Linked DNA regions of Coturnix japonica. The protein of the gene in region 1 purifies or fractionates together with the protein of each later gene. This does not show direct contact. Links are inferred from orthologs where the notes say so. Each region holds a gene or a part of one and is shown in the gene's direction. Other genes may lie near its edges. The genes, in order: RICTOR, FBXW7, MLST8 and PRR5L.

Region 1 (4,681 bases):
GAAGAAAAATAGTAAGTCTGTCTGTTTCAGGAGCTACATCTTGAATGAAGAGATTTAAGTATAAACTGAGGCTGAAAACAAAGTAATGGTTAGCTTCAGGTGGTATTCAGTGACAATTAAGAACAGTTTAAGAGTTCTTCCTTTTAATGTTAAGAAATGAAAGTTGTCTAAAAATTCTGTGTAAAAGGACCAAATATGAGAGGCCGTCAAATTTTATGCAAAATAAAATTGTTTTGAAAAGGTGAGCCCTTCTGATTTGGGATAAGGTGATTAAAAGCAATGCATAGAGAATGTTATTCTAGATATATTTAATCTTGCTGCTTAGAATTCATCTGAGATTAAAAGGAACCTGACTACTGGTTAGGCTTAGACACAACTTTTGTTGAAGAAACTGCTAATGGCTCTGTGTACATCTTCTGGTCTAAGACTGATTCTTTGTTTATGATTTTGTCTACATGCTATTCCTTTGTGAATATTGTTTTTGTGGAGATAACTTGAACATACTGTTCACATTAGAAAGGACAAAAATAACTATCTCTTAGTTATGAAATTACTAGATTTTGTTGAACATTGATTAAAAGATGACATAAAAATGCTAGTGATAAGTAATTTTTGTCATTTATACTTGTGTTTGAACTAGAAATCATTTAACAGTGTCTAATATCTCCTTTGTTTGGTGAGGTAACATTGTGTATTAATGTTTTCTAGGCATTATTAGTCTGTGCAAACCTGGGAATTCTGGGATTCAGTCTCTCATTGGGGTACTTTGTATACCAAATATGGAAATACGGGTAAGTGTTAAATATTTCCTATTGGAATAGGAATATATGTGATGTTTTATTTAATATGCTTGCAATTTTTTTTAACAATTTAGTGGTCTAACCCAGAATCTAATTATGAGACCACTAGTCTTCAGTTTACTTGACCCTTAAATTTCCTGTGTCATTTTTCCATGTGGTCAGGCTGCCTGCTCTTTCAGTGTCAGTGAAGTGTGAATCAAAGCTCACTCTGTCTAACAGGAGGGAATGGAGGAGGGAAAAGGGAAAAAGTGTTAGATGTGAGGAGACAGTAAATAAAATATTTGTATAAACAGGAATATTTTTGGCATTGAAACTGATTTACTCTTACAATCTATAATCTTATTTTCTTTTGGTTTATTTACTTTTAGTTTCTTTCTTTTTTTTTTTTTTTTTGAATATATATAAGTCTTGAAATTACTCTGAATTAAAACATATTTTAGAAATATGCTAATATACTGTGAAATTGCTGCTATCAAGAAAAATATGCTTTCAACCACTGATCTTGGTTTTAAGTTTAGTTCTTATTCATACTTTATATAGTACTGCTAATATTAAATTACTACAGACAGAACAGGCATTAAGAGAAGGTCCATCATTTTCATGAATTCAAATTATTTCAGTAGTTTGCAAGTAAATAGTAATAGTAATAGTCTCGTGCGGGTTGGAAGGGACCTTAGAGATCATTGAGTCCAACCCCCAGGATACGAGCCTCTGTGCTGCAGAGCGGCACTTCTACCACTTGCGCCACAGGGGATTCAAACACCCGGGCCCCGGTGTTGCAATGCAGCATTCCTACCACCTGCACCACTGGGGCACACAAAAATCATTTTTTGCTTTAACAATAATTCAAAGCAAATCTTTTGTAGCTTTAATAATGAGATTAAAACATAGGATTTGACGCATATAGAAGCATTTCCTTCCAGGTTATTGCCTAAACAAAGAAACTGCCAGTCACAGCCGTAACAATTCTAAAAAATATATATGTAGTCTGAGGAGCTTGTTTCTTTAGGTTATGGTGATAATAAGGCACTATTGTAAAGTGAGCAATCCACTTCCCTTTTTCTCCAGATTCCTTCAGAAAACGTGCTTGTAATAAAAAAAAAAACAAAACAAAACAAACAAACAAACAAAAAAACCAAACAAATAAAAAACCTCCAAATCAGATACCAGTTTTAGCACACTGTAAAAGTCAACCTCAGTGCTAATTTAATTGTGAACAGAAAGGCCATATTTTCTAAATATATGAAGTTGCTGGGTTTTTTGTTTTTGCAGCGGGGTCTGCTTGAGGTTCTCTATGACATTTTTCGTCTTCCTCTCCCTGTTGTTGCAGAAGAATTTATTGAGGCACTTCTTAGTGTAGGTAAGTATTTCGAACCAGTCCACACAAGAATTCTGTCAAATTCTTCTACAAATTTGGTGAACCCTTTATTTTTCCACTGGATTGCAAATTATATTAGTGTTAACCTTTTCATCAGCAAATTCATGAGGTATTCTGAAGTCCTGTTTAAAATCCTTTTTCAGCAAATTAACAGTGTTCAGTGTTCAACACAAGTCCACTTTTGTCCGAAGTTCTTAATGTGTCAATTGAAAGTCTGTAAGAAGATCAGTAATGGAGCGTAATTGAGCATTTGCACAAAAGACTGCACAATACAAATTATTAGTCTTGGAAGTATTTGAAGCACTGGTAGTGTAGGAGTGGTGGCGAATGACACAGATAAGTTACTGAAAAGTATCTCTGCATACTGAATATATGCTAATTGCCCTCAATGCTCTTCAGTAAACTTGTCCTAGGGTAATTGTATGGTTTCATGTCTATAGTAAGAGAAGTTACTCTTTTAAGTTCAGAATTATTTATTTGCAAGTTTTAAAAGTGTTCTCTACTTTTCTCTTACAAAAGTATGAGCCTGAAGAGAGTAATTCTGATGTTCCATCATCCTCCAAACTCCAATTACGAATGTCAGTCAAGGGCCTGATTATAGAACCTTAATCATTGTACTGAAATTCACTATTAATAGTTTTTTTTTAAAACTTGTGACTTTGCTCAGTTTGCATGCGAATTTAAAAATGTTGCAGTGCTTTCAGCTGGACAAATTTCATGTGTTTGTGAATGCAGGAAGACATTATTTTGATATTTAAATTAAATATTTGTCTTAGCTTTGAAGTTGACCTTACTTCATGTAGTAGTGTGGATTGGATGACTTATTGTAGATCCTTTTTGACCAAAAGTTTTCTTTAATTTCAAACCTGCTTATCTAACTACTATTAAAATAACACTGAAATACAGAACTGTAATTAACATTGGTTTTGTTTGTTTTCTTGTAGATCCAAGCAGATTTCAGGACTGCTGGAGACTCTCTGATGGCTTTGTAGCTGCTGAAGCTAAAACCATATTACCACATAGAGCCAGGTCAAGGTTGGTATTCAATAAACTCAGACTGAGCTGTTGATTAGTTGTACACAAAAGAATCGCTTTTCTCTTGCAGAAATAATTTTTTTAAAAAGTTTTTTCTAAACTATTTCCATGTTTTGCTCCTTAGGCCTGATCTCATGGATAATTACTTGGCTTTAGTGCTTTCAGCTTTTATTACCAATGGACTTCTAGAGGTAACTGGTGATATTAGATAAGAATAGATGCTTACTACCTTTCTTTTATGAACATTGATCTAAGATACAACATACACACTTTACTTTAGTAAATATTGTAATTTTTAACTTTTTTCCAGGGTCTTGTAGAAGTGATCACAAGTAGTGATGACCACGTATCTGTTAGGGCAACTATTCTTTTGGGAGAACTTCTGCATATGGTAAGTAAGGTTTCTTTCTGAGATTAAGTATAATTAGTTATTCATTTACAATAGTTACTTTTTTGTAAAGATTGGAATTTGTTCAGAACTTGGAACATCTACTTTCCATCAAAATAATAAGTTATTTTTACCTCGTAACAATTCGTATATTGAAAGAAAGCATGAATTGAATCATCTCCAGCTCTCACTGTTTCTCCACCTTGCCTCAGTAAGATGTATTTTTAAGCTAGAATCTTGCAAATTCACTTATCTCTTACTGTGTTTAGCAATAAAGTTGCTACTTGTTTGAGCTTTGGTGTAATGGCAGCAGTGGCAGGATGCTTAGCTTTCTGTTTCACAGTCTGGGTAGATAAAACTTTTGCACATTCAGCTGCAGCACTTCCTAATATTCATTCATGCAACTCCTGAGTTGGTCTTCCCATGCAGCTCTTGATAGCCTCTGAATAACACAGAGAAACGGAAGACACCTTGTTTCACACCTCCTGCCTCCCTGTGTTTAAAGAAGAGAACTTTTATGTGTTTTTTCTTGCCTAGACATGATGTTTTTAAATGCACATGCAAGTGCTACTTTGCAGACTGCTGAGGAACTGTTGGTCATACGTGAAGTGATATGATTTACCTTTCAGGCCAAACAAGTAGTTTTGTTCCACATCCCTTATTGACAGCAAGGAGGGCATATGCAGCAGAGCACTTTCTGTTAAGGCTTCTTGCGTATTTTTGTTAATTTTTATTTATCAAGTATCTTCTGTTGTTGAAAGTGTAGAATGGACAGTCTGAAATTGTATTTCTGGTTTTATATATATTTTAGTATTCTCATACGTGACATAAAAGGATGACCGATAGTTTGCATTTTTTTTTTTTTTGTATATCACCTCTTCAACTATCACCAATGCAAAAATAAGAATTTCAGGATAGAGCCCTACAATTGTTTTTATTTTTCATTGTAGTTCAGATTGATAAATTAGATAAAATATTCAGAGTTGTGTCCAGTTATTGTTGGTAATATGTGAAAAAATCTCATGCATTTGCAAAGCTCTCATCAGAAATAGTAGATTTTTGAAAATGCTGATTCTAATA
Region 2 (4,681 bases), on another chromosome or scaffold:
GTCATAGTCCACAGATTGTCAGGACCCTCAGAAAACACAGTACAGCCACTGATCTGAACCACTGTCTGTTTAACTGCAGCAATATTGAAGTAGTTTGTCTTTACACTCAGCCTTAAGGCTTTCTTTCTGAATACTTTATGCAAGTAGAATACAGGTAAATGACAGGAGAGAGGAGGTTTTTTTTTTTGTGTTTTTTCTTTTTTGCATCAGTCTTTCTTTAAGTCCAGCTTAGGAAAGAAAAACATTCTGTAGTGTTCCTTGCAGCAAGTGTGCTGGCTGCTCACCATTCCTGATCCATTTATCCAAAGTCAAATTAGTTCACATGCTTTTTTGAAAGCATAGTGCAGAAAACAGGATGCAAAATTCTAGTCAAAGTCTTAGCAATGCCTGCTGTAATGGAGAAGTTACTTTATGTATATTGTGTAGCATATCCCTATTTTGGATACCAGAGTGTGTGTTTTTTTAGTGTATTTTCACTGGAACTGCAATGTATTCCAGTCAGCAGGCTGCACGTGCCAGTTGCTCTCTAAATCTTCTGAACCAAAGTGTCACTCAGCCATGACTGCAGGTAGAGATCTGAGGTGTTCTAAGATGCAAGAGGTTTTACAAAAAGAAGCAGTCGGATAGCCGGGTTCTTTCTTCTCTTGTTACTAGATACCAGCAAGCCCACATGGACAAGTAGTGCTAGTTTGCTCTGGCTATCCCAGGCTGCAGTTTTACCCTTATGTATTCTTGGCCAAGCTCAGATCTTCATAACTCTCTCTTTTACATGCTTCACTTTGCGTCAGGTTCTACCATTTGGAATGTCCCACTAATCCTAATGAAAATACTAAGTGCGAGACACCCAGAGCTCTTACTGATATGTCTAAATTGTCTGTGAACTACATTGTGAACTGAACTGATAGTGTCCCTGCACCAAGTATTATTTGTTAGTTTATTCTGCAAATTAAAGTTATGCTGACCAATCCACAATTCTCCAGTCTCCCATCCTTGAATAAAGAGAGAAATGGTACCTGCCATCTGAAGCCTTGTCTGTCTTCCATGACATCTCAAAATAGCATCAGATGTCTCTAGGATTGTCTTCAAACAACTTTGCTGTACGTGTGCATTTTCTCCATTCTAGTGGAAGTTCGTATCAGTTGTCACTGGTGTTAGCCTACACTCAGATGGCTGAGGACTGAAGCAAAAAGAAAACTTAAATAGCCTTAAATAGCCTCATCTGGTGTTTCTTTCTCTTCTCAATCAGCTTAAACAAGCTTCTAAAAAATCTTTTCTCCTTCCTTCCTTTTTTTTTTTTTTTTTTTTTTTTAATTAATTAACCAAAATGGCCTTTTTACCATCTGTGACAGCTCTTGTTAGTTCCGTCTTGTTTTGCGCTCTGCTTTTCTGATTTTGTCCCAGCGTACTCCTTTGTACACTTCTGTTGATCTCATTTCTTCTTTTATACAATTCCCTATACTTCAACCAAGTAGGTCTTGGTAATTTACTGCATTTCCTATCTTTCCCTCAAACAAGGATAGTTTGTTTCTCTAAGAAGGTGCCAGCTCTCCTGAACTCTTCTTCTCCTTAGAGATGCATAAAAACCTCATGGGAAGGAAGTCTCAGTTTATTAAGTATTCCTCCTTGAAGCCCTCTGTTTTTATTCTTCCACTCTTTTTCCTTCCTTTTGTGGGAACCCTGACTCATGGCGTCATCGCTCTCACTCAGGTTACTTTTCATCTCCATATCCTCTACATGTTTCATCTCTTGGTCAGAAGTATCCAATCTCTTCGCTGATTTCTCTGTGTGTTCATCTTCTACATATTTTTACTTTGTATCTTGGTACATGCCCAGAAAATCCAGAATCTGAACATCTGAGTCAGCATATCTACTTTTCCCAGCAGTGAGTAGGAAGTTAAAAAGTTCCTTGTTGCACATGATTACGCCGACAAAATGTTTGACCCAGCATTTTTCAATTTCTTTCCTTCTATTTTCCTGTATTGTTTTTATGTCTGTTATTTCTTTTCTCCAGCTTAAAGTCCCTCTGACTTGTGGAAAAGCAGGTTTGGCTGTTAACTTATTTATTAGGACAACAACAGCCTCTTAGTGCTGTATGCTGCAGCAGACAGGATTCTGTTCTTTTTAAGAGTTGTATTTTATTTGAAAGACCAGTGGTCCAGTGCCCTCCTCTTCAGGCTGAGTACCCCATAGGTTGTGTTCACAACTGGAAATGACACTGCCATGAATCACCAGCTCCTGTATCAAGCACAGCCATATATCTATGAAGACTGAAATGCAATTTCCAAATATATTACACATACCTAATGTTAACTTTAGTGAATTAAATGCTTAATAGCCCCGCCTTCATAGAGAGCATTGTAAGATCCTAATATAATCGTTTATAACAGATTTACCTTTCTTGTAGTTCGATGGTATCCATGTGGTGAGTGGATCTCTTGACACGTCCATCCGAGTTTGGGATGTGGAGACCGGAAACTGCATTCACACACTCACAGGCCACCAGTCTTTGACAAGTGGAATGGAACTTAAGGACAATATACTTGTGTCTGGGAACGCTGATTCTACAGTCAAAATCTGGGACATTAAAACAGGACAATGTTTACAGACATTGCAAGGTGAGCTTAAACTACCATGATAGAAATCAAGCTGCCTGCAGTAATCTGTGCTGCAGATCCTATATAAAACCTTCTAACCATTTCATACAAAGAAACAATCGTGGACCATTTACAACTTAAATATCATTTTTCTGATGACAGCTGTATGATCTTCCTCTGAATTAGAGGAATTTCATCTAATCTATTCAAATCACTTGCCTATTATGAAAGGCAGATGGCCTGAACCGAGAGAAATTTGCAATGAGTGTATTAGCCTAATAAGCCACAGAAATATGTAGGAAATGACATCTCAAAACAGCCAGTCAACGTTTTATTTAGGGGTCACTTGGATGTTTCAGAGCCTACTGATTAATTGGATTGGGAGGCAAAAGCACACTGTCTATTGCAATAAATCAAAAGAAAAGATTGGAAGAGAGTGGAAGATGTTTTCACTTTCTCAGTGAGAAGAAAGATTTTGGTTTCCATTTTTACAGTTGCCACTGACGCATCATGCACACCAGCATGTTATTTTGTTCCCTCTTCAGAAAAAGTCATTTATCATATCCAGCAATGCTGGCTGCAGCAGAAAGTTAAACTTCACTGGAAAAGCAGGCTGCTGTTTTAACAGTTTATATGTATCTGTATGTCCCTCAGTACTTACTGGTAGAGTAATCCCATAATAACACTTCAAAGGGACTTGGAGAAAAACATGCATTGTGGTCACCTCATTTCTGCATGGCTAAGTTCATTCTCATGAATTTCCAAGTATGCACTTGTCCTGCTGTGCGTATGCAACAAAACAAGATCACTGTAACAAAGAAGTATTTTGGGGGAATTTCACGCTTTGAAAACAGAAGGCAAGGTTCTGTACCTTTTAAAGCACAAAAACAGGGATAACACATCTAAGAGAAACAGCTGTGCTCAAGTGGATGGGTATTTACATTATATACAGCGCTGTCTGTCACTGCTTTCCCGTTAGAAACAAAAATGTTCTGGTTTGCTCTTCTAGGTCCCAACAAGCATCAGAGCGCTGTGACCTGTTTACAGTTCAACAAGAACTTTGTAATTACCAGCTCAGATGATGGGACTGTAAAACTTTGGGACTTGAAAACGGGTGAATTTATCCGAAATCTAGTTACATTGGAGAGCGGGGGAAGCGGAGGCGTCGTGTGGCGGATCAGAGCTTCCAACACAAAGCTGGTGTGTGCCGTTGGGAGCCGGAACGGGACTGAGGAAACAAAGCTGCTGGTGTTGGACTTTGACGTGGATATGAAGTGAAGGGCAGAAAGATGAATTTGTCCAAACGTGTAGGCGATGTTCTCCTTTCCCTCGCCCTGAGAAAAAAAAATAAAAGAAGAAAAAAAAAAAAAAAAAAAAAAAAAAAAAAAAAAAAAAAAAAAAAAAAAAAAAAAAGAAAAAGGAAAAAAAAAATCCCTTGTCCTTGGTGGTGCAGGATGTTGGCTTGGGGCAACAGATCCTAAAGACCTACAGACTACGAAGGAGAAGACAACGATAACAAACTCTAACTGACAAGAGAGGCATTCGCTGTCTCGTCACATAAAATGGCAACACCTTCGACCGGGGCAGCTTTGCAAAACTTCTGAAATGAAACCAGGTGCAATTCTTTCTTTACTTTCCTCCGACCCCTTCAACAGGTTGGAGAAAAAAAAAAAAAAAGAAAAAAAAGTTACAGTTCTTGTTACCAGGTTATTTTACTATGGAGATCCGTAAGGAAGCTGCACACACATGCCTGCTGGTACCCCCTGGCCCCTCAGCAAGGCGCTCTCCTGGCCCCGCTCTGAGCAGGGCTCCTCCCAGCCTCCACGAGCGGCCGCCAACTTGAAAAACCAGAGAGTGCCCGCAGTGAAACCAACTGCGGAACAAGGAGAGTCCATTCCTGGTGTGGAAAAGCTAAAATAGTACTGTGAATTGTTTTGTGCAGTTTTATCGGAGCTTTCTCTTTTTCTTTTTTTTTCTTTTTTTTTTTCCTTCCTTTTTTTGTTTTTCCTTTTGCCAACCATTGCCAACGTCAATCACAGTATTAGCCTCTGTTTAATCTACTTACCGTTGCTTCCATCTACACTCTT
Region 3 (5,472 bases), on another chromosome or scaffold:
TGTCACCATTAAGATCCATAAAAATGCATTTCATGTCTTTCCATGCCCTCTCCCCAGACCACTTGGAAGAACTCCTGAGATAGTGATCCACTAAACCCCATGAAAATGAGCCCAAAGCACAGGCAGCCTTTGCAATGCAGGAAACAGCAGGTTCCCCTTCCCCATCCCCCTCTGTGTTCACAGCAAGGGATGGCGCAGTGCTTGGCCCCATGGCACAGTGCTTGGACCCCATGGTGCCACCTTCTCACTCTGGAGGATGCTGCCAGCTCTGACACAGAGCCACAGCAGTTCCCATACAGGTGGCACTGCAGGAACCACTCTGGGACCCACATACACCTGCAGCTCCAAAGCACTTCCTTGGGGAAGCACTGCAGGGGAAGCAGAGCACACCCCATGCACCCATTCCTGCAGTGTGGGTGGGCACATAACCACCAGACCACCCCCCTTCCAGCAGCAGGGCAGATGCAAGCAGCCTCTTCTAGGGTTAAATTCAGCACCGACTGGATTTGGAAACTGAAAAAAACTAAAAACATCAAAAGATCTCGGTTGCTGCTGTTGCAGAGCTGCTCAGCTGACTGCGAGGGTTTTGTTTGTGTTGCCAGAGCGGTGGCACCAGGGGAGAGCTGCTGCGAGCCGCCCAGCGCCGCGGGCTCTGAATTAGCCCTATTCTAGATGCAACCCTAATCCCTGCCGACACCTCCTGCACAGCACAGCGCAGGGCAGCGCTGCACCCGGACCCAGCGTGTCCCGTAGGGCAGCACGGGGCCCTGGCACAGGGCAGAGCAGGGCAGCAACGTGCGGGTGTGTGCTGAGCATCCACGGCCATGGCCGCGGGTTGCGCCCTGTGCTCGTGTGATGCGCCTCGTGTGCGGCGTGGATGCGCTTTGTGATGCTCCTGGTGCCTGCAGGGGACAACGGCGGCCCTTGCTCTGTGCCATCCCATCCCTGCAGCATTTCCATCCCGCCCGGCGATGGATGTGTCAGCCCTCGTGGGAGGAGCTGTGCGGGTGCGGGAGGGTATGGGGCTCTGAGAGCGGTATGGGGAGCTCAGCACCCCCTGGCCGCAGGAAGGCCGTTCATAGACAGAGCGCTAATTGCACTGCCATGGCAACACAGCGCCTGATCAGAGCGGGGATAAATATTTGGACAGACGCTGTCAGCTCGCCAAGACCGGGCGTTTTTAATATCCGTTATCTAACTCGAATAGAGCGCAGGTTGCCCGGATCAGACCCTGCCGGTGCCGGGCTGCAGCACCGATGGCAGCAGCGGCTCCCTCCCATGGCTGAGCGCATCTCGGGGCCGTGTCCCGCTCCCCCGCAGCGCCCGGCCCCGTTCCCCTCTTACCTCCCGGAGCCGCTCAGCGCAATGCCCGGCCGTCCCGCCGCCGTTGCCATGCGGAGCCCACGCTGCCGCAGCGCGGCGGTGCGTGCGGGGGCGGCCGCGTGGAGCCCAGCCCACACCCCCGCTCCCGGAGCATCCCCGCGATTCAGCCCCGGTACCGCCGCGCCCGGTCGGTCCCGCTCCCCCGGGACAGGGACGCACCGGCCGCCCCAGGGAACGGCTGCGCCTCCCGGTGCGGTACCGCATGGCGGCCCCGGTACTAAAGGACAGCCCCAGCCCCCGGAGCGCCCCTTACCGGCAGGTGCGGTACCGGGCGGGCACCCCCCGGGCGCGGGTACGAGCACTGCCCCACGGCCGCCACCGCCGCTCTTAAAGGGCCCGACAGCAGCGCTGCACCGGCACGGCGGGACTCTGCTGCGAGCTGGCTCAGTGCCCTGCCGGCCCTGGGACGTGTGTGCCCTATTTGTGCCCTATTTGTGCCCTATTTGTGCCCTATTTGTGCCCCGTGTGCCCGCACCCCGTGTCCCGGTACCCGCACCCCACACCCCCATCAATCCCCAGCCCCCTGCCCCGCTCCGCTCGGTGCGGCCGTTCCCATCACAGCGCCCCCTGGCGGCGATGTCGGGATGTGACTCACTCAGCGCTGACAGCGCCCCGCAGTCCCGCCTCACCGCCGCTGCTCTCTGCGCATGCTCCTTTGACATCACCGACCCGCTTGCGCAGAGCCCGTACCGGCTCCGCGGTGCCGCCGCCATGAACGCGGCTCAGGGCACGGTGGGCAGCGACCCCGTTATCTTGGCCACGGCCGGGTACGACCACACGGTGCGATTCTGGCAGGCGCACAGCGGCATCTGCACCCGCACCGTGCAGCACCAGGACTCCGTATCCTGCACCGGGACCGGCGTGAGGGGGGAGGCCCCGGTGTAACGGGGGGGGGGGGTCCCAGCTTAAGGGGGGGGCCCGGTGTAGGTGGTGGGGTCTCGGTGTGGTCTCGGTGTCATACAGCCCTTAGCACTGCTGGCAGCAGGTGAACGCCCTGGAGATCACTCCTGACCGCAGCATGATCGCAGCCGCAGGTGAGCCCCGGGGTGTTTGGGGTCGCTGGGTGCCCCTGGTATTTCTGAGCTCCATTCGCTGCCATAGGGTATCAACACATCCGTATGTACGACCTCAACTCCAACAACCCCAACCCCGTCATCAATTACGATGGTGTGAGCAAGAACATCACGTCCGTGGGCTTCCACGAGGATGGGCGCTGGATGTATACGGGTGGGGAGGACTGCATGGCACGGATATGGGACCTCAGGTGAGCGCGGGGTCTGCTGCAGGGAGAACATTCCTCCGCAGGCTCGTGTGGGCTCATTCGGTCTCTTTTTTGTTGCAGGTCTCGTAACCTGCAGTGCCAGCGGATCTTCCAAGTCAATGCTCCCATTAACTGTGTCTGCCTGCACCCCAACCAGGTACACTGATTGTCACTGGCCTTCCTGGAAAAGGTGATGCTCCCTCAAATGCTTGGCAGTCTGGAGCATTGCTCAGCCCATGGTCTTGGTTGCATGGACCCCTCGGCTCTTGGTGGCTTTGCAGCTGCACGTCCATGTATTCCCTTGCAGAGCAGCTGCTGCATGACCAGGCTTGGTGCAGGCAGAGTGTGGCCCTGCCCCTGCCTTTGCTGCTTCTTGTCAGGGAACAAACATCCTCAAGCAGGGCTGGCAGCCAGCAGATGTCTCTGGCTTCTGTCTTGCTCATACTGCACCTGCAGCAAGCATCAGCATCCATGCTGGAACCATCAGGTTTTTGCTGAGCATCTTTGTGCTAGTTACCTGCTGGCTGTTGGACACAAGCAGTGCTACCAGTAGAAAAAAGCAGAGGCCAACAGCCCCAGTAAGGTCTGTGGTGTCTTCAGGGTTTGCTGGAGATCCACCACTCAGTTCAAAAGCTGTCAGAGAGGTCACTTGGGTTAAAGAAATGGAGCTAATGGGGATGATGGGGATGCATTAGTGGGCATGGTGGTGAAATCGATGCGTATCATTGCAGTGTTAATAACGCATCTGATCCATTCTTTATCCATGGTGCTGCAGGGTGGGAGCTGCAGACAAAGCAGCATAAGGTTGGTTTTTTCTCAAAGCAAATCTTTTAAAAAATATGAATAATAGAAATGTTTCTTTGCTTTTGATTTCTGTAAAAACTCAGTATTACAAATACTGAGTTCTGGACTAAATGTGAGATTGGTCATTTGGAACTGACTTCAGCCAAATGTTGCTGCTGCTGCACCATGAGACTCAGAATGTGTTGCATTAAAACAAATACTGTGCATAAATCATGTGTGTGAGATAATCACTTTGTGTTACTGTAGAAGCAATGGCTTGTGAGCAGGACAGTTAGTTAGCCCAGAGGTGGCAGTATTTAATCAGATAGATCCACAGTATGGACAGGGTGAAGCTGCTTATTCTCAGAGAGGGATTTCTCATGGCCTGGGTAAAGCCACGGCTGTGTTAGAATTGTATTTGCAGATGCTGCTAAGAGTGGGCTAGGAGGTGTCCAGGAGATGCCTCTGCACTACACAGTCAGCTAAATATATCAAGGGATGATTGTCTTCTCCTGAAGCAAGCCGTGGGTCACAGGTACAGGATTAGCTGCATCTGATGACCTGATCTCCTCTAGGGATTCTGCTAAAATTATGGACAGTGTAAGTCTGTCGATAAAAAGCCGTGGTTTTAATGGAGTGCTGCCAGCATTGTCTGCTGCTTTGAGCAGCAGGGATTGGAGCCAGAGCTGCTGCCCTTCAGCTGGCTCCTGTCCTTACCCTCCTGGAGCAGGAGAGACAGAGAAAAACCCACTTAGGCTTGTGTTCTTCAGGTACCTGTCACTATTTTCTTGCAGGCTGAGCTAATTGTGGGTGACCAGAGCGGGGCCATTCACATCTGGGACCTGAAAACAGACCACAATGAGCAGCTGATTCCAGAGCCTGAAGTCTCCGTGAACTCTGTGCACATTGACCCTGATGCCAGCTACATGGCAGCTGTCAACAGCTCGGTGAGCTTGGGCATGAGATGGGATTTGCAGTGCTGGGTTGTCCTTGTGGGGCAAAAGCAGCCAGTTTCTATGCACTATAGAGTTTTGCTGTGCTATGATGGGACACAGAGTCTAGGCTGCTTTTGGCTGAGGTCCACAGAGCCAGTCATAGACGTCCCATCTCCTTGCAGGGAAACTGCTACGTGTGGAACCTGACGGGTGGCATTGGAGAGGAGGTAACCCAGCTGATCCCCAAGACCAAGATCCCAGCACACAACCGTTATGCCCTGCAATGCAAGTTCAGCCCTGACTCCACGTGAGTGTGCTCCTCCACCAGATCAGTTCAGCTTGAATCTTGTAAGGCAGATGATATGGGGTAAAGAAATCTGATTACTAAATACGCAGGGCTTCAGTTCATTATTGTGCCAGGCCTGCATTAATGAGGCCTTTACATGTACAGCATAACTAATAAGATTACCTATGCGTGTGTTATCCTTGCAGGCTCTTGGCTACCTGTTCTGCAGATCAGACATGTAAGATCTGGAGGACTTCAAACTTCTCTCTGATGACAGAGCTGAGCATTAAGAGCAATAACCCAGGGGAAACCTCTCGTGGCTGGATGTGGGACTGTGCCTTCTCTGGAGACTCGCAGTACATTGTCACAGGTGAGACCCTGTTTGCCTGCCTGTCTGCAGGCTGGTGGGGCAGTGCTGGGTGCTGACACAGGACCTAGCATGTTATCTTGGTGGAACATTGCTAAACCCATGTATGTAAGGGAAGAAAACTCTGTTAGAGCACCCAGCCTCACGCCCACTGCACTGCATGAAATCCCTTCAGCTTTCAGCCTGTGCTATAATAAGAGGCAGCAGATGCTCTGTTAAAACTGGAGAGATGATCCACTTGTGCAGTTTGTTTCACCTGGTAGAAATGCTGCTTGCAATGCTTGCAGCCCAGTTGTCCTTTCAAAACATGTTATAATTTCCACAGTAACTTGTCTCTGAACTACTGAAGATCCCAGTACAGAAATGCCAGGTTCCTTCCTCTGCACAGCTCCCTTGCTTCTCATATCAGCACTTAACTGTTGACTGAAGCAAGAAGACAACTTTTTTTCTACTTAAA
Region 4 (5,256 bases), on another chromosome or scaffold:
CTTCTGCCCTGAAGGAGAAATGTTAATGAAACATTAACTTATGTATTAGTTCCATTCCCTCATTCTTTCCCCACCTTTAACTGCAGTTCCAGTGCTTTCTCTTTCAAATAAGAGCAGCATCTGCAGCCAATGGAAAAACTGAAGAGTCTGGATTGATCCCATCTCACTGTACTTGTCATGACTCTGACCCTTTATTCACACTTTCCTAAGGTTAGTACAAAGGTGCTCGGTTTCCATATGGAAATAGTCTTAATTAAATAGCCTTTTTTTTTTTTTTCCAACCTTAAGAATTTGATCATCTATTTTAAGAAATCTTTATGGTGGGGTGGGCTGAGAACTCCTTTAAAAATGGAAGCAGAATAGCGGGCAGCCTTGAGAGTCATACCTGAAACAAACAAAAATAGGAGTATTCAGTCAGTTTCCTGTCTAGTTCTTTCAGGAATTAGGTTCTCTACCTTTCTGCCACTCGTGATGCTTTGTGGCATTATCGGATCTCAAGGTGTTTCAGTACGGGGCTTAGCTTCTTTGTCTTCTGAATTTCTGTCATCTTGAATGTGCTTCAAGTCAGACTCTTAGTACATGTATTTGCAAAGCTGCTATGGCACATTTTCCAGTTGTAATATATTGCAGATGTGTTCTCTTTTTGCCTCTGAATGTCTTCCCCTGCAGGGCAGGGAAAAATGTACTGAAAATGTTGGTATGTGATGTATATATGTGGGAGCTCAGATAGCATGAGCTACCTTGTGAAGTGGTCTCATGTTATGCCTGTTTGTGTTTGCTGGCGAGGGCTTCAACTCGCTAATGAAAGAAATCAGGGTGGCCTTTCTGCTCTTCTCTAGAGAGACTCTCATCATCAAGTACCTTAATGATAGATGCAAGAGATTATTCTGGGGTCAGTGTTAAAAGTTTGTATTGGTTTCCATTTGAACAGAATTTAAGGTACTCTTGTTCCTTTTAAAGTATCAATAGATTAATATATTTTGTAATTAATACACAGCTATATTTCTGACAGGATTTTTTTAAAAAATAAAGTAATTAAACCATGTGTTGTATGTTACATCTTTATTCAAAGGGAGAGCTGTATAAAGCATCAGCTGCCCTGGAACTTGGTTCTCTCTCTGTCTTGTGGGTTTTGGTTGGCTGTGTTATATAATACGTGATATCCATCACTGTAAGTCAAAAATGCTGTATGTATTTCAATAGGAAAGGATTGTTGTTGTTTATTAAGGGCAGTGGCAGCTTTAGTCACTGTTAGAATGTATTGAAAGAAAGTTGTTTGGTGATGGTCCTGCAATGTAAGCGTTGAGAACCATTTAACACGGCCACCTGTTTGGCCACAGGAAAGGACAGACGGATGGGCTGAACTGGGGGTAACAGAGAATAACTGGGGACCAGTAGGGGATATCCAGGGACAACATGAAAACTGAAAGACAGAGGTGCAGCACAGTACAGATGGTATTTTTGCTAGAAATAAACTGTTGACAGACTATTCTACCTGCTAACTTATTTTTCTATATTATAAGGCTCCCAAATATCACTGTCACTGACAATCAGCTCCTACCACTGTAGTACTTGAGAGAATCTTGATGCTCAGCAGACTGTTGGAACTCAGCCCTGCTGTGCTGTCCAGAACTCTTGTGAATACGACCAAGTTATGGCAACTAATCTGAGAAAGAAAACCAATTAACCCAGAAATAATGCTATAACACAATTTCCCTTCACTCTTATTAATTTTCATGCTTATTCACAGCTAGTTTGTGTCTCTCCAAAACAACACGATGCTTTCCATACTGTAAACAAATACATGAGATTCAATTTTATACTGCTATTGTAACACAAAGCCCTTGAATGCCAGAGATGCTCGTGGTGGCAGCGCAAGCACGTACAGAACATGAAAAAAATTACTGAGCAGCAGGCTGAACAGCTAGATATGCTCAGTAAGAAATGATGAACTTCAGCTTCCTATCAACTAAACACAGTTTCCCATGGCTCTCATTTTATGCCCGTAACCTGCTGTAAGACTGACAAGAACAGCAGAATCACAACATTCAAGCTTTCCCTCAGGCTGGCACTCGCCGACACGGTTTGTCCCTCGCCTCTCGCCGTAGCTCTCGCGAGGCTGGCGGAGGGCGGCTGGGTGTCATGGCGCTGTGGTGAGCGAGGTAACCGCTCTTGGACCCGGAGCCCTGTCAAGGAGCGGGGCTGGAGGTGGGAGGATGGCTCTCCTTCTCTGCCGGGCGGCCTTTTGGTCGCGGCAGCGGTCGGAGGATGAGGTGGCACCCGGCGTGTGAGTAACGTGCGGGAGGCCAATGGAATCTTCTGCAGATCCGTTCCCGTCTGCGGTTTTTTCCCCATGTTTTTCCGTAGCGGTATAACTTAAGAGCCTGTGTCAGTTCCACTTGACTTACGTCAGTGATTTTATGTTCTTTTTCCAGGCCGTTTTCCAATGGTAGGGTTTGCTCAGATCCCCGATCCTGAGTTAGCATTTCACACCGATGTGCAAGCCGCTGGCAAAGATGAATAATAAGATGGGTTACCTGCTGAATGCTGCCAGGTGCTTGTGTAGGTGCAGCCCCGTGCCCAGACCATTGGCTGCTACAAACAGGCGTGTTGTATGGAGTGGCAGGCACTGGGATTGCCTGGAGAATGTGAACTGCAGGAAGTTGTTTCTAAATACTTTTCTCTCTCTATGTGGATCACCTCCGATTTCTGTCTCAAAAGGCAGATGTTTTTGGCACAGGTGATGAAGTACAGCAGGAAAAAAGTAGAGAGGCTGTGGTGAGCAAGCAGGCTCCACAAAGCTCCTTGGAACTTGAGAGGTTGGAGGGCGACGTGCAGAACTTCAGAGCGAAGGCAGTGCTGGATCAAAATGAACAGTTCTTTAACAGACTATAAGTGTGCCTGTCCTAGCGATGTACTGGATTTGGCCTCAGAGTCTGCTGTCTCCACTAAGCAGTTCACAAACTGTTTAACTACCGTTTGGAAGCTCCTGAGAAACATCAGAAGACCAGCGGCACTATGAGAAGCAGCTCATCTTTGAGAACTCGGCCTTTGTCAGGCTTTGTCAGCAGCTGCTGTGGGACTCCAGAAGGATGACACGGGGTGACCTGGTGTTCAGTCTGCACGCTGTGGTGAACCTCCGTGTTCCTCAGAACACTCTCTTAGTCCAGACTTTGTTGAGGGTGTTCCAGGTAAGCATCAAAATCCCTCATGGATGTTTGGGCTGAAACACCGGGGTTAGTTTTTGGAGGGTGTACAACATCAGGGAGGGAGGCTTGGGTTACATCTCTGGTTTAGTCTGATGTTCAGAGGAAATGGGGCTCCCTTAGTCTGTACGCACATTTAGTTTCCTTCATTTTTTTTTAACCACTGCCTAATTTCACTTGTGTAACTGAGAGAAGTCTGAAAAATTGTTACCCTTTCCAAATGAAGTAGGAGACTGTGGAGATCAGTGGAGACTTAAGCTTATGAACTGACTTCTGATGGGAAGACAGGATGACAGGTACAAACTAAGAGGTTTTCTTTTCAGAAATTGTTACTGGTCTGAAGTAATGTAGCATTGTTAAACTCCTTTAACAGGAAAAGCTCAATCAACTGGATAGCCGCTGTATGTCAGCTTTGGCAACTACGCTAGCTGGGATGGATGAAGACAAGAATGTGAGTGCTCTTCAAGCTGGATTACAGTGAGAAAAATATCTTACACATGTTATTAGTATTTAAATCTTGTTTGAATACGTGTGTTTTAAAAATCACAGAGGGAATGTCCATGCATAAAAGATGCATTGTGGTTTTAGGATCTAGATGTTGCATGAGATAAGGGCAGTGCAAGACAGTGATTTTTGGCACTGTATTTTCAGTTCTAAGCAGGAAGGCTGCTGGTAGGGTAGGATGTTAGACTACTCTGCAGCACTGCATATTCTGACTGGATCTCCATCACTGTGTTTTGTTTTGGTCTGGTTCCCTGACATGCCTCTGTTTTACCTGTGTGTAAAAAGGAGGAAATAAATCTGGTTTAAATTATGAAGTATTTTGATTTATCATGATGAGAAATACTGTTCAACAGCCAGGGGCTATTTCCTTTAATTTAGTAAGGAAAAATTAAGATGAAAACGAGTTTTGATTTTGTCTGTCTGTGACTGCAGCAAAGCTTTCTGGCGAGTGCTTAATCAGAATAACTTCTTTGATTGTATGGCAAATTAAGACACCTCCTTTGGTACCAGATATAGTTACACAACTGCAGATATCTGGCCAAAGGGTATGGTATTGGCAACCGGGGCATAATCCAGTACAAGCAGTAGTATTGACCCAATATAAGAATACGGCCTGTATTATGCCTTGGAATGCAGACCTTCCCCTCCTAGTACCTTTGAAACATTTGTACTATTCTCCCTGAGTCTCTGAGCCTCTAGGACCACCAGAGGATGATTCGTTTGGGACTGATGAAACGCAGATAGACTTGCACCTCAAGATGGCTTGTCTCCAATGGCACCTATCAAGCACTGGCCCACGGAAGACTGCGAACACCCATCAAATCATCACTCAAATTATATCAACATCTATTGCAACGGGAAATTGTATCAGCATCACATTGGATCTCTGTAATAAGGAAAAACTCACCTAATCATTGGTTCACACAGTGAAGGGGTGGAGTGTATGGGAAATTGGTAATCACAGCCTGAACCTCTGATTAATCAGCTGAGCCAAGTGTCAGGTCAGCTGTGGGAGCACAGGTGAGAGTAATGTAGCTGTGCCCCTGAAGGGGTGGAGCTTGACTCCACCTCCTCTAGACCTCATTTAAGGGCTGACCACCACTAAGGCAGCATCTCTTGGAGATCACTCCTTGGTGGAGATTGCCTCAGTGGTTCCCAGCAGACCGAAGGCTTCCATATGGGTGAGTTTTTCCTGTAAATAACCTTTTGGGTATTTATAACTACTATCTTTTCATTATTGTCACAGTACACACAGTTTTCCAGAAGTGAATAAATGGATTAATCTGTATTCAATATTTGCTAGAAAGATAAACAGCTGCCAGTGAGAACCTGACCAAAGAACAGACTTGATTAATGAGAGAGACGTTATTTGTACCCAAGAGAGCAATAGGCTTGTTGATACTGTTTGTCCCAACATACTTTTACATTAGGGGCAGAATAACATCTCTGGCTTTTATTCTGAATTTGCTGTTCTTCTTGCAAGCTGAATGTTCAGTACAAACTTAAGTATCCTCTTCTAAGATTAAATCTTGTGCCAGAGTCCCCC

What was found.
Region 2: the proteins of RICTOR (region 1) and FBXW7 purify together in Homo sapiens (affinity purification with western blotting; 3 studies listed by BioGRID, with this or other methods). This does not show direct contact. The link is inferred for Coturnix japonica from reciprocal best matches to the Homo sapiens genes RICTOR and FBXW7.
Region 3: the proteins of RICTOR (region 1) and MLST8 purify together in Homo sapiens (affinity purification with western blotting; 14 studies listed by BioGRID and IntAct, with this or other methods). This does not show direct contact. The link is inferred for Coturnix japonica from reciprocal best matches to the Homo sapiens genes RICTOR and MLST8.
Region 4: the proteins of RICTOR (region 1) and PRR5L purify together in Homo sapiens (affinity purification with western blotting; 3 studies listed by BioGRID and IntAct, with this or other methods). This does not show direct contact. The link is inferred for Coturnix japonica from reciprocal best matches to the Homo sapiens genes RICTOR and PRR5L.

What each region holds. Positions count from the first base shown.
Region 1 is NC_029547.1:11,177,531-11,182,211, reverse strand, and holds part of RICTOR (rapamycin-insensitive companion of mTOR), read left to right. Parts: intron 1-708; coding exon 709-791; intron 792-2,072; coding exon 2,073-2,160; intron 2,161-3,122; coding exon 3,123-3,213; intron 3,214-3,337; coding exon 3,338-3,404; intron 3,405-3,523; coding exon 3,524-3,604; intron 3,605-4,681. UniProt on the Homo sapiens protein: Component of the mechanistic target of rapamycin complex 2 (mTORC2), which transduces signals from growth factors to pathways involved in proliferation, cytoskeletal organization, lipogenesis and anabolic output.
Region 2 is NC_029519.1:29,730,151-29,734,831, reverse strand, and holds part of FBXW7 (F-box/WD repeat-containing protein 7), read left to right. Parts: intron 1-2,404; coding exon 2,405-2,615; intron 2,616-3,603; coding exon 3,604-3,872; 3' UTR 3,873-4,681. UniProt on the Homo sapiens protein: Substrate recognition component of a SCF (SKP1-CUL1-F-box protein) E3 ubiquitin-protein ligase complex which mediates the ubiquitination and subsequent proteasomal degradation of target proteins.
Region 3 is NC_029529.1:6,429,139-6,434,610, forward strand, and holds the start of MLST8 (target of rapamycin complex subunit LST8), read left to right. Parts: upstream 1-2,094; coding exon 2,095-2,223; intron 2,224-2,365; coding exon 2,366-2,417; intron 2,418-2,484; coding exon 2,485-2,647; intron 2,648-2,725; coding exon 2,726-2,801; intron 2,802-4,221; coding exon 4,222-4,374; intron 4,375-4,544; coding exon 4,545-4,669; intron 4,670-4,854; coding exon 4,855-5,018; intron 5,019-5,472. Other genes in the region: hexosaminidase D-like, read right to left, coding at 1,979-2,096.
Region 4 is NC_029520.1:17,281,480-17,286,735, reverse strand, and holds the start of PRR5L (proline-rich protein 5-like), read left to right. Parts: upstream 1-1,924; 5' UTR 1,925-3,191; intron 3,192-3,579; 5' UTR 3,580-3,657; intron 3,658-4,851; exon of another isoform or gene 4,852-5,256. UniProt on the Homo sapiens protein: Associates with the mTORC2 complex that regulates cellular processes including survival and organization of the cytoskeleton.